Linked DNA regions of Canis lupus familiaris. The protein of the gene in region 1 interacts with the protein of each later gene in a pairwise test. Links are inferred from orthologs where the notes say so. Each region holds a gene or a part of one and is shown in the gene's direction. Other genes may lie near its edges.

What was found. The genes of interacting proteins can lie anywhere in the genome.
Region 2: the proteins of CCND2 (region 1) and CDKN1A interact in binary tests that used the Homo sapiens proteins (3 or more experiments, as listed by UniProt). The link is inferred for Canis lupus familiaris from reciprocal best matches to the Homo sapiens genes CCND2 and CDKN1A.

The regions. Positions count from the first base shown.
Region 1 is NC_049248.1:5,513,135-5,516,634, forward strand, and holds part of CCND2 (G1/S-specific cyclin-D2), read left to right. Parts: intron 1-1,501; coding exon 1,502-1,650; intron 1,651-3,500. UniProt on the Homo sapiens protein: Regulatory component of the cyclin D2-CDK4 (DC) complex that phosphorylates and inhibits members of the retinoblastoma (RB) protein family including RB1 and regulates the cell-cycle during G(1)/S transition.
Region 2 is NC_049233.1:5,926,830-5,931,028, forward strand, and holds the start of CDKN1A (cyclin-dependent kinase inhibitor 1), read left to right. Parts: upstream 1-1,399; 5' UTR 1,400-1,519; intron 1,520-4,199. UniProt on the Homo sapiens protein: Plays an important role in controlling cell cycle progression and DNA damage-induced G2 arrest. Involved in p53/TP53 mediated inhibition of cellular proliferation in response to DNA damage.

The DNA.
Region 1 (3,500 bases):
CAGTGGGGTCATCTATAAAAGGGCTTTAATGGGATATGTTGCTTAATAGGGAAGTGGACAGGAGGAAGGGAAGGCATTAGGTTCATCTGTTTTTATAGTTTCAACCTGATGTGCCTGCTAGAATTTGAAGTGTGACCCAGGTCCTCCCTCTGTACCTCCCTCTCACTATCCCCACCCACCTCCGCCCTTGCCCAGCTCTATACGGGCAACTGCAGGAGTGCTAGAACCAGAGGTGACGCACTGGAGGATTTGCTCCACTCCAGGACTGACTAAAGGGAGTGACAGTAACCTCTCTAGCATATCAGAACAAGGCACAGGTAAGGGCAGTGTGTCAGCTCAGGGGTCTGCCCTTCCTCATCCACCATGCGAGCTCCTTCTCTGGTGGGAGTGTGGGTGAACTGGCATGTTACACCGATAGGACTGTATATGTGGGGCATCAGCGGGCATTAGGAACAGCAGCAGGAGTCAGGTGTGGGTGCCCTTATCTCTTCCTGATAACTGGGCAGTAGGTGATCTTGGTCACCCAGCCTCTTTGCGGGAACATTCAGGAAACTGAGGTGTTTGGTCTCCCACGCTGAGCCCTCACCGGCGCACAGGAACATAGGAACATACCCTCTGTTTGCTTTTGGAGAAAAGAAAGTGGATGGGGGTTTGAGCTCCTTCAACTTATTCTCACTTTGTACTTCTCTTAGCAAACTGCTCTTTTTTTTCCCCCAGCAAGAAAATGGGACCTTTGGGCCCAAGAGCCATACAACCTAAACAAAGCCATCCATGTGGTTAGGGTGCAGTGGCTAATACTGGGTGCTTGCCTTCTCTCCTTATGTTCTGAGGGTCTTGGGCTAGAAGTTGGGAATTGTGTGAAACTTGGCCCTCATGCCCTCCATCCATTACTGCTTCTCTCCCCCACCCCCTTTTTTAAAAAAATGAAATAAAATCATCTTTTGTTTTGGGCCATCTGTCTGTTGACTGTCCACAAATAATAGGGGCAATATTACATCAGGATTATCATTCTTCATATCATTTTACCTGCTTATACTTTCCCCACCTTCCACCATCTAGATCCCTTGGTCTGTCTCACTTGTACGGCACCTAGGTTACCTTGTCTGGTCTCACCTCAGCCCTCCCAGCTCTGCTCACTGTGACTGCAGAGGACACTGCATTTCTTACCTTCCTGCCCCTTACACGTGCCAACCCCAGACAGGCTCATGGAGGTGAGGGGTTGGGGACGAGTCCCCTCTCTGAAAATTACTCTGTGTATTCAGATAAGCTGTCCACCTTCCCTGCCTCAGTCTCTCCATTGGAGCTCTGGACCTGCCACAGTAATGGTAAATAAATAAAGGATATCTTGTGAAGGGAGACTCAGGAGAGGATGTGTCTGTAGGGTGAGGAGTCACCTGTGCAGCTGACCTTTCACCATCCTATTTCTGAGGATCTTCAGGCCGGGGAGCCCCCAGATCCAAATTCTTCCTGTGCCTTGACCTTCTGCCTCTCATTCTCGCAGACTTTAAGTTCGCCATGTATCCGCCATCGATGATTGCAACTGGAAGCGTGGGAGCCGCCATCTGTGGGCTGCAGCAGGATGAGGACGTGAGCTCCCTCACCGGCGATGCCCTGGTGGATCTGCTGGCCAAGATCACCAACACGGATGTGGTAGGTGGACGCCATCTTCTTGGTTAAAACCAGATGTCTCTTTTCTCAGTTCAGGAAGAGACAGTCGGCTGGATGATGATGTGTTGGGAGGTATATTTTTTCGTTTTTGGTGGTGGTGGCTTCTATTTTCCAAGATCAACATCCAAGGTAGTACGAAATTCAGTAGGTGAGGCTTCCTTGTAAGGGTTTGAAAGCCTCCGTGCCAGAAAATAGAGAAGAGAACCTAGCAAGCAGACACAAGGTGGGAGGAGGGCTGTTTACTAATTTTCCTTCGTGGTGTGGGCTTCCCCATGAGTCTGAATTGTTGTTTCATGTCCATTTATGTACATGTCCTCAGGCTGCCTCTCCCCCACAGTGTCGTGCTCTGCTTACACCCACTCGGGCGGAGACACAGTGGAGAAGGGACTAGAGCCGGCTGCTGCCCTGGGGGCGGGGGCGGTGGGGATCCAAGAGGTGCCCCACCTCTAGACCGTGTCTGGCCTTGACACACCTCTCAGCCCCACCCGCCTCTCACTTCCCCTTTTGTTTAATGTGGTAATGGATTAAAAAGTACTTGTACAAGAATAAAGAACCATCATAATTTAAGGAACTATTATTAGCTATAGATTTTTCCACCCCTGTGCCCCGTGGACTGCCCAGAGGATGTAGTTCTGCTTGCCAGAATTTGAAGCTCCTTAGAAGAAAGGTCTTGAGAGACCAGGGTCAAGTGAGGCTCTGATTCTGTTGGTAGGAGACTGCAGTCCTTTAAAGGTCTAAGCTAGGGTGGCTGTGAGAGGCCAGAGGGGCGGGTAGAGACTTTCCATGAGAGGTGCAGAGGACTGGGGCACAGGGGTAGGGTGGGGGCAGTAGTAGAGCTGGGACAGAACCTGGAAGCTCCGACTCCCCGTCTCGGAACGTTGTACTCCACCCTTGTTATAGCTTCTGAAGCTTTTTGTTCAAGAAAGTCCTCTGCTTTTTAAAGGCAGTTGGAGAGGCTTGTCAGCAGGGAGGCCCTCATGTGGCACCACGGAGAGAATCAAGGTGCAGGGGAACATCACGAAGCGCCCCTCTGGATGTTCCAGGTAGCTCCTGAATGCCCTGCTATGGGAATATATTGAGTTAGGAGATAGCGTGGCTTACGGGCCTGTGGCTGATGCCCCATCCGGGATGCTGAGCAGAAGGTTGACAACTCAGAGTGAGGACCACAGCTTGCTGGCTCTCTCACCTTCCCACCTGCAGTTTGCCTTGGTCTTTATTACTGTCTTGAGGAAGTAGTGCACGGAAGTATTGAAGGGCCTCGTGGAACCAAACGCAGGGTTCTTAAATATGCTTCTAAAATTCTAGGTCCTAAACATGGGCTTTAAAAAAAAAAAAAAAGGGCTCGTACGATACCACCTGGTATCTAAAACACAAATTGAAGAGACCCCTCCAGTGTGCTTCACGTGAAGAATGCTTTTCTAATCCTCCAGAGGCAAATCTTGGGACAGAACTTAATATTTATAGAAATGATAAGCTTTCTTCCTTTTCTGAACATCTCCTATTAAGGCTGCCTTACAAAAAGGACTCCCAACCAGCTTAAGACAAGCTCTTGCTCGACCCCCAGAGACAAAAATGTCAGTGACAAGAGTCTGACCCCCAGGCATTGTAACCTCTTTCAGATATTTATAGACCTGCTCTGATTGGCGGGTTGCCCCATGGGTCTCTGGCCTTATCACCCCTTACTAGTTTCAGATGGACAGAGGTCACTACTGAGGTGCCACTGAGTCTCTTCCGTTGCCTTTCCAGACTGCAAACCAGTTTCTCATCTTATGCTGGAGAAACTGCTTGCCCCCTTCAGATACAATGTAGCCAGTCCATCCAAGTTAGCTGTC
Region 2 (4,199 bases), on another chromosome or scaffold:
GGGGTTTCCCTCTTTCTAGAGCCACTTAAATAGAGAGGGCAATGAGCAGAGAGCTCTGAGAGGCACTGGGCCTATGCTCCAATTATAGCTGTTTATTTGCTGTGTGACCTGAGTCAGGTCACTGAACTTCTCTGAGCCTCAGTGTTCCCAGCAGCGTAAGCGGATTGTGCGGGGGAATATCCAGGAGATAATTTGCTAACCAAGTCCTTCCCCCTTCCTAGCTATCAAATCTGTTGCAATCAGAGGTGCCTGGGTAGTTCAGTTGGTTTAGCATCTGTCTTTGCTTCATGATTTTGGGGTCTTGGTATCCAGCCTGGAGTTGGGCTCTTTGCTCAGCAGGTAGTCTGCTTCTACCTCTCTCCCTACTTCTCCCCCTTCCTCTGCTCCTGCTCTCTCTCTGTCTCATTCATAAATAAATAAATAAATAAATAAATAAATAAATAAATAAATAAATAAATAAAATCTAAAAAAAAAAAATATGTTGCGGGATCCCTGGGTGGTGCAGCGGTTTGGCGCCTGCCTTTGGCCCAGGGCGCGATCCTGGTGACCCGGGATCGAATCCCACGTCGGGCTCCCGGTGCATGGAGCCTGCTTCTCCCTCTGCCTGTGTCTCTGCCTCTCTCTCCCTGTGTGTGTGACTATCATAAATAAATAAAAAAATAAAAAAAATCTGTTGCAATCATAGAGATCTCTATTGTTGAGGTGAGAAGGAGGTGGATGTGGGCACGAGGAGGAGGGGTAGGGAGGTTGGTTCAATGTCCAATTTCCCCCATTTCCTGCTTTCCCCTGGAGACCTGGTTGACCTTTTCTGAGTATTCCCCATTCCCTCCTTCCCCGGGGGCATTGGGCGAGCAACAACTTTGCATCCGTTTAGTCCTGAGGTCCTTAATTTCTTCATCTGTGAAAGAAGGGGGATCGAATCCGGTTCTGGTCTCCAAGATGCTTTGTTGGCGTGTCTGGGTGCTTGGGAAGAGGCGGTCTAGTGAGGGGTCTGTGGGAAGACTGGCGGTATAGTGGGCTTTTCTGGAAATCGCCGAGCGAGGCACATCCTTTATGCTTTTATTTATGGAGTGTTATCTATGAATGTCACCCCTCGTGATCTTCTCGGGGCCAGAAGAAGGGCTCATCCTAAGAATGCCATCCCTTCGTGGGGAGTGCCAACTCCCAACCCAGCGAAAACAACCCCGGTCTGTGGCTCAGTTAGTGGGGAAACATGTCAAGCACAGGGACCCAGGCGCGGGGCGCGGGGCGCCGGGCGCGGGGCGCGGGGCGGGGAGGGAAGCGCCCCCCTGCAGCCCGCGGTGTAGGCGTCTGACTTCGGAGGTCTCCAGCCGCCGGCGAGTTGCGAGCTGCGGCGGCGGACGGCGGCAGAAGGGGCGGTGCCAGGCCTGGGGGCGGGGCGGCCGGTCCCTATATAAGGCGGCACCGGGCGGTGCCAGCTCGCGAGCTGCTGCGGGAGACGGTGGCTTGGAGAGCGGAGGCGGGCGCGGATTCGCGGAGCCGGAGACCCTCGGAGGAGGTGAGGGCGTTGTGGCCGGCGAGGGGGCCTGGGCCGGCGGCTCGGAGCCCGGCCGAGGTGTCCGCCTCGTGTGTGTGTGTTAGTGTCCCAGCGGGTGAGTGTGTGCGTGCGCGTGCCGTCTTCACAGGTGAATGACGTGCGTGGGTCGGCGCGTGGGGCTGGGCTCGGCTCCCACGGGTGTCTCCGGAAGGTGCGCTTGTGCCGGAGGTCGGGCTGTGTCGGAAGCCCGGGGCGGCGGGAGCGCAGCAGAGCGGGGGATCCCCTGCCGCGCCCCCCGCCCTGGAGCCAGGGGAGGCGTGGACTCGCGCGCCCCAGGCCCCCGGCGGCGCGCGGAGGGAGCCCCCGGGCGCGGAGCCCCCGGAGGGGCGGGGAACGCCGAGCCCGGCAGGTTCACCGCCCTCCGCTCCCGGCGGCTGCGATCCAATCCGCGCCGTCTCCGCCCAGACCCCTGCGGCCGGGGTCCCCGACGCCTCCGCGTCCGCCACCGGCTGGGCGCTGAGGTCAGCGCGGGCGGCGTACCCCCCCCGGTCCTTGGGAACGTGTTGGGACACATCCTTTCAGGGCAATCGAGGAGGTGACTCACGGTGACAAGGAGACCCCGGGAAATGGGACGGGTGCGGTCAGAGCCCCGCCCGGGCTGGGGGACAGTGGCGCCCCAGAAGTCGGCTTCCTCCCCGCCCCGGGTGTCTGTGCCCCGATCGGCACAGTGACTGTTTGGCTGGCACAAAGTGTTCTCAGGGAAGCCGGGACATCGGGAGGTCCAGGACTGGGTGTCCGGTCCCCGCCTCGCAGCGCGCCCTCGGGGACCCGGAGCGGTGGCCCTGCGCGGGCTGGGCTCGCTCCAGCCGGCCCGTGGGAGAAGAACAGGGGTCGGACACACCTGTCCTCCTTCGCGCCCCGCCTGCCCTGGGGTCGGGGCGCCGCATTCCGCAGCGGGAGGGGAGACCTGCGCCGCGGGGCCGCGGGGCGTGCAGCCCACGCGCGGGGCGAGGGACCCGGAGAGGTCCCATCTGGAGGCTGGTCCCACCCTGACGGCCACATCCGGGGGCTCCCGGCGCCCCTCGCCAAACTGCCCTGTCCGAGGGCGACTGCTCAGCGCGCAGCGAGAGGACGAGCCGTCCTTTGGGCGCCGCCGCCCAGCGCGGGCCACCGTGCACCCCCCCCCCCGTCGGGGGCCCTCGGGGGACACGGGCGCCCGCCTCTTGCGGAAAAGAATCTTGGAATTGGGTTTGGCGCTTTGGGGTGCCCGGGCGGCTCCCTCCCTGCCCCCCCTTCCCTGCCTCCACGTCGCGGTTCGAGGACTGTCGAGCGGTTCTGTTTTCCTTGCTTTCGTCTATTTTTATTTTCCAGGGATCTGACTCATCCCGTGCTTTGGGCGTGGAGATAAGGTGGAGGGACCAAACCTCTGCGCGCCTCTGCGTGCGGAGTGTGTGTGTGTGTGTGTGTGTGTGTGTCACGGAGGCGCGCGCGTTTTTCCAACAGTGGCGGGGCTTTCGGAAGCCTGGCTGGCTCAGCGTGACGTGTTCGCGGCCCCCGGTCCGCCCCCCGGTCCGCCCCCCGCCTCCCCTCCCCACCCGAGGGTGACGCTGCAGCCCGAGCGCACGCAGAGTTGTGGCGGGCGGGGAGCGCTCCGCAGGAAACTGACTCATCGCTGCTCGCGGCGGCGGCTCGCGGCTCTGCCCACACGCCGACCCTGCGCGTGATTTCCTGGAGACCGGCGCCCCCGTCCGGCCCCGAAGCGAGTAGCAAGCCCGCCTTCCCTTCCCGCCTCGCTGCGCCGCGGCTGAGCCTGAGCCGCAGCTGCGAACGCCCCTGAAAAAGCATGACCCGTTGGCTCATCGCGGGGTGCTCAGTGCTTACTGGTTACTTCGGAATTAAAACTGGCTGAAGTCTAAGACACGAAGGCCAACCAAGGATGCTATTCTCGGTTGTTTGTGAAATAAGGGTTTATATTTGACTTTTCTCTGAACTGGGAGTTACGATAATGGGAATGAGATCAGATTTTGATGAGGAGCCTATGAGGGCCATAGGGTGGTAGGAGAGAGGATCCTTGCCTGGATTCTGGTCCCATCTTGAGCGCCTAGAAGCCTGGGAATACTCAGCCTCCTGGTGAAAAGCCAAGGCAGGCTCCTCCTCCTTGTGCCAGTGAGGCCATCCTGTGTATCCTCTCTTGAAAGGCACCCCAAGAGTGCCCATATGGGGAACTGCCAAACACCTGCTTAAATCCCCTTTATTTTATTATTTTTTAAGATTATTTATTTATTTATTCATGAGAGACACACAGAGGAGGCAGAGACACAGGCAGAGGGAGAAGCAGGCTCCCTGCGGGAAACCGGCTGTGGGACTCTACCCTTGAACTCCGGCATCAGGCCCTGCACCGAAGGCAGATGCTCAACTGCTGAGCCAACCAGGGGCTTAAATCCCCTTTAGTTTGAGTTATTCTGGGAAGAGAGGGACCTATCAACCTGTATTTTTTAAAAAGCTCCCTAAGTGATTCTGCTGGGCCTCTGGTTAGGAACACAAAACTAGAGAGGGAGTAAGGATGAACACCAGAGCACGGAACCCAGGATAAACAGGCCTGGGTTCAAATCCTGGCTGTGCCACTTGTGAGCCATGTGACCTCGGGCAAGTTACTTTACTTCTCTGAGGTCTTAGTTACTTCTTCTGTTAAAAAAAAAAA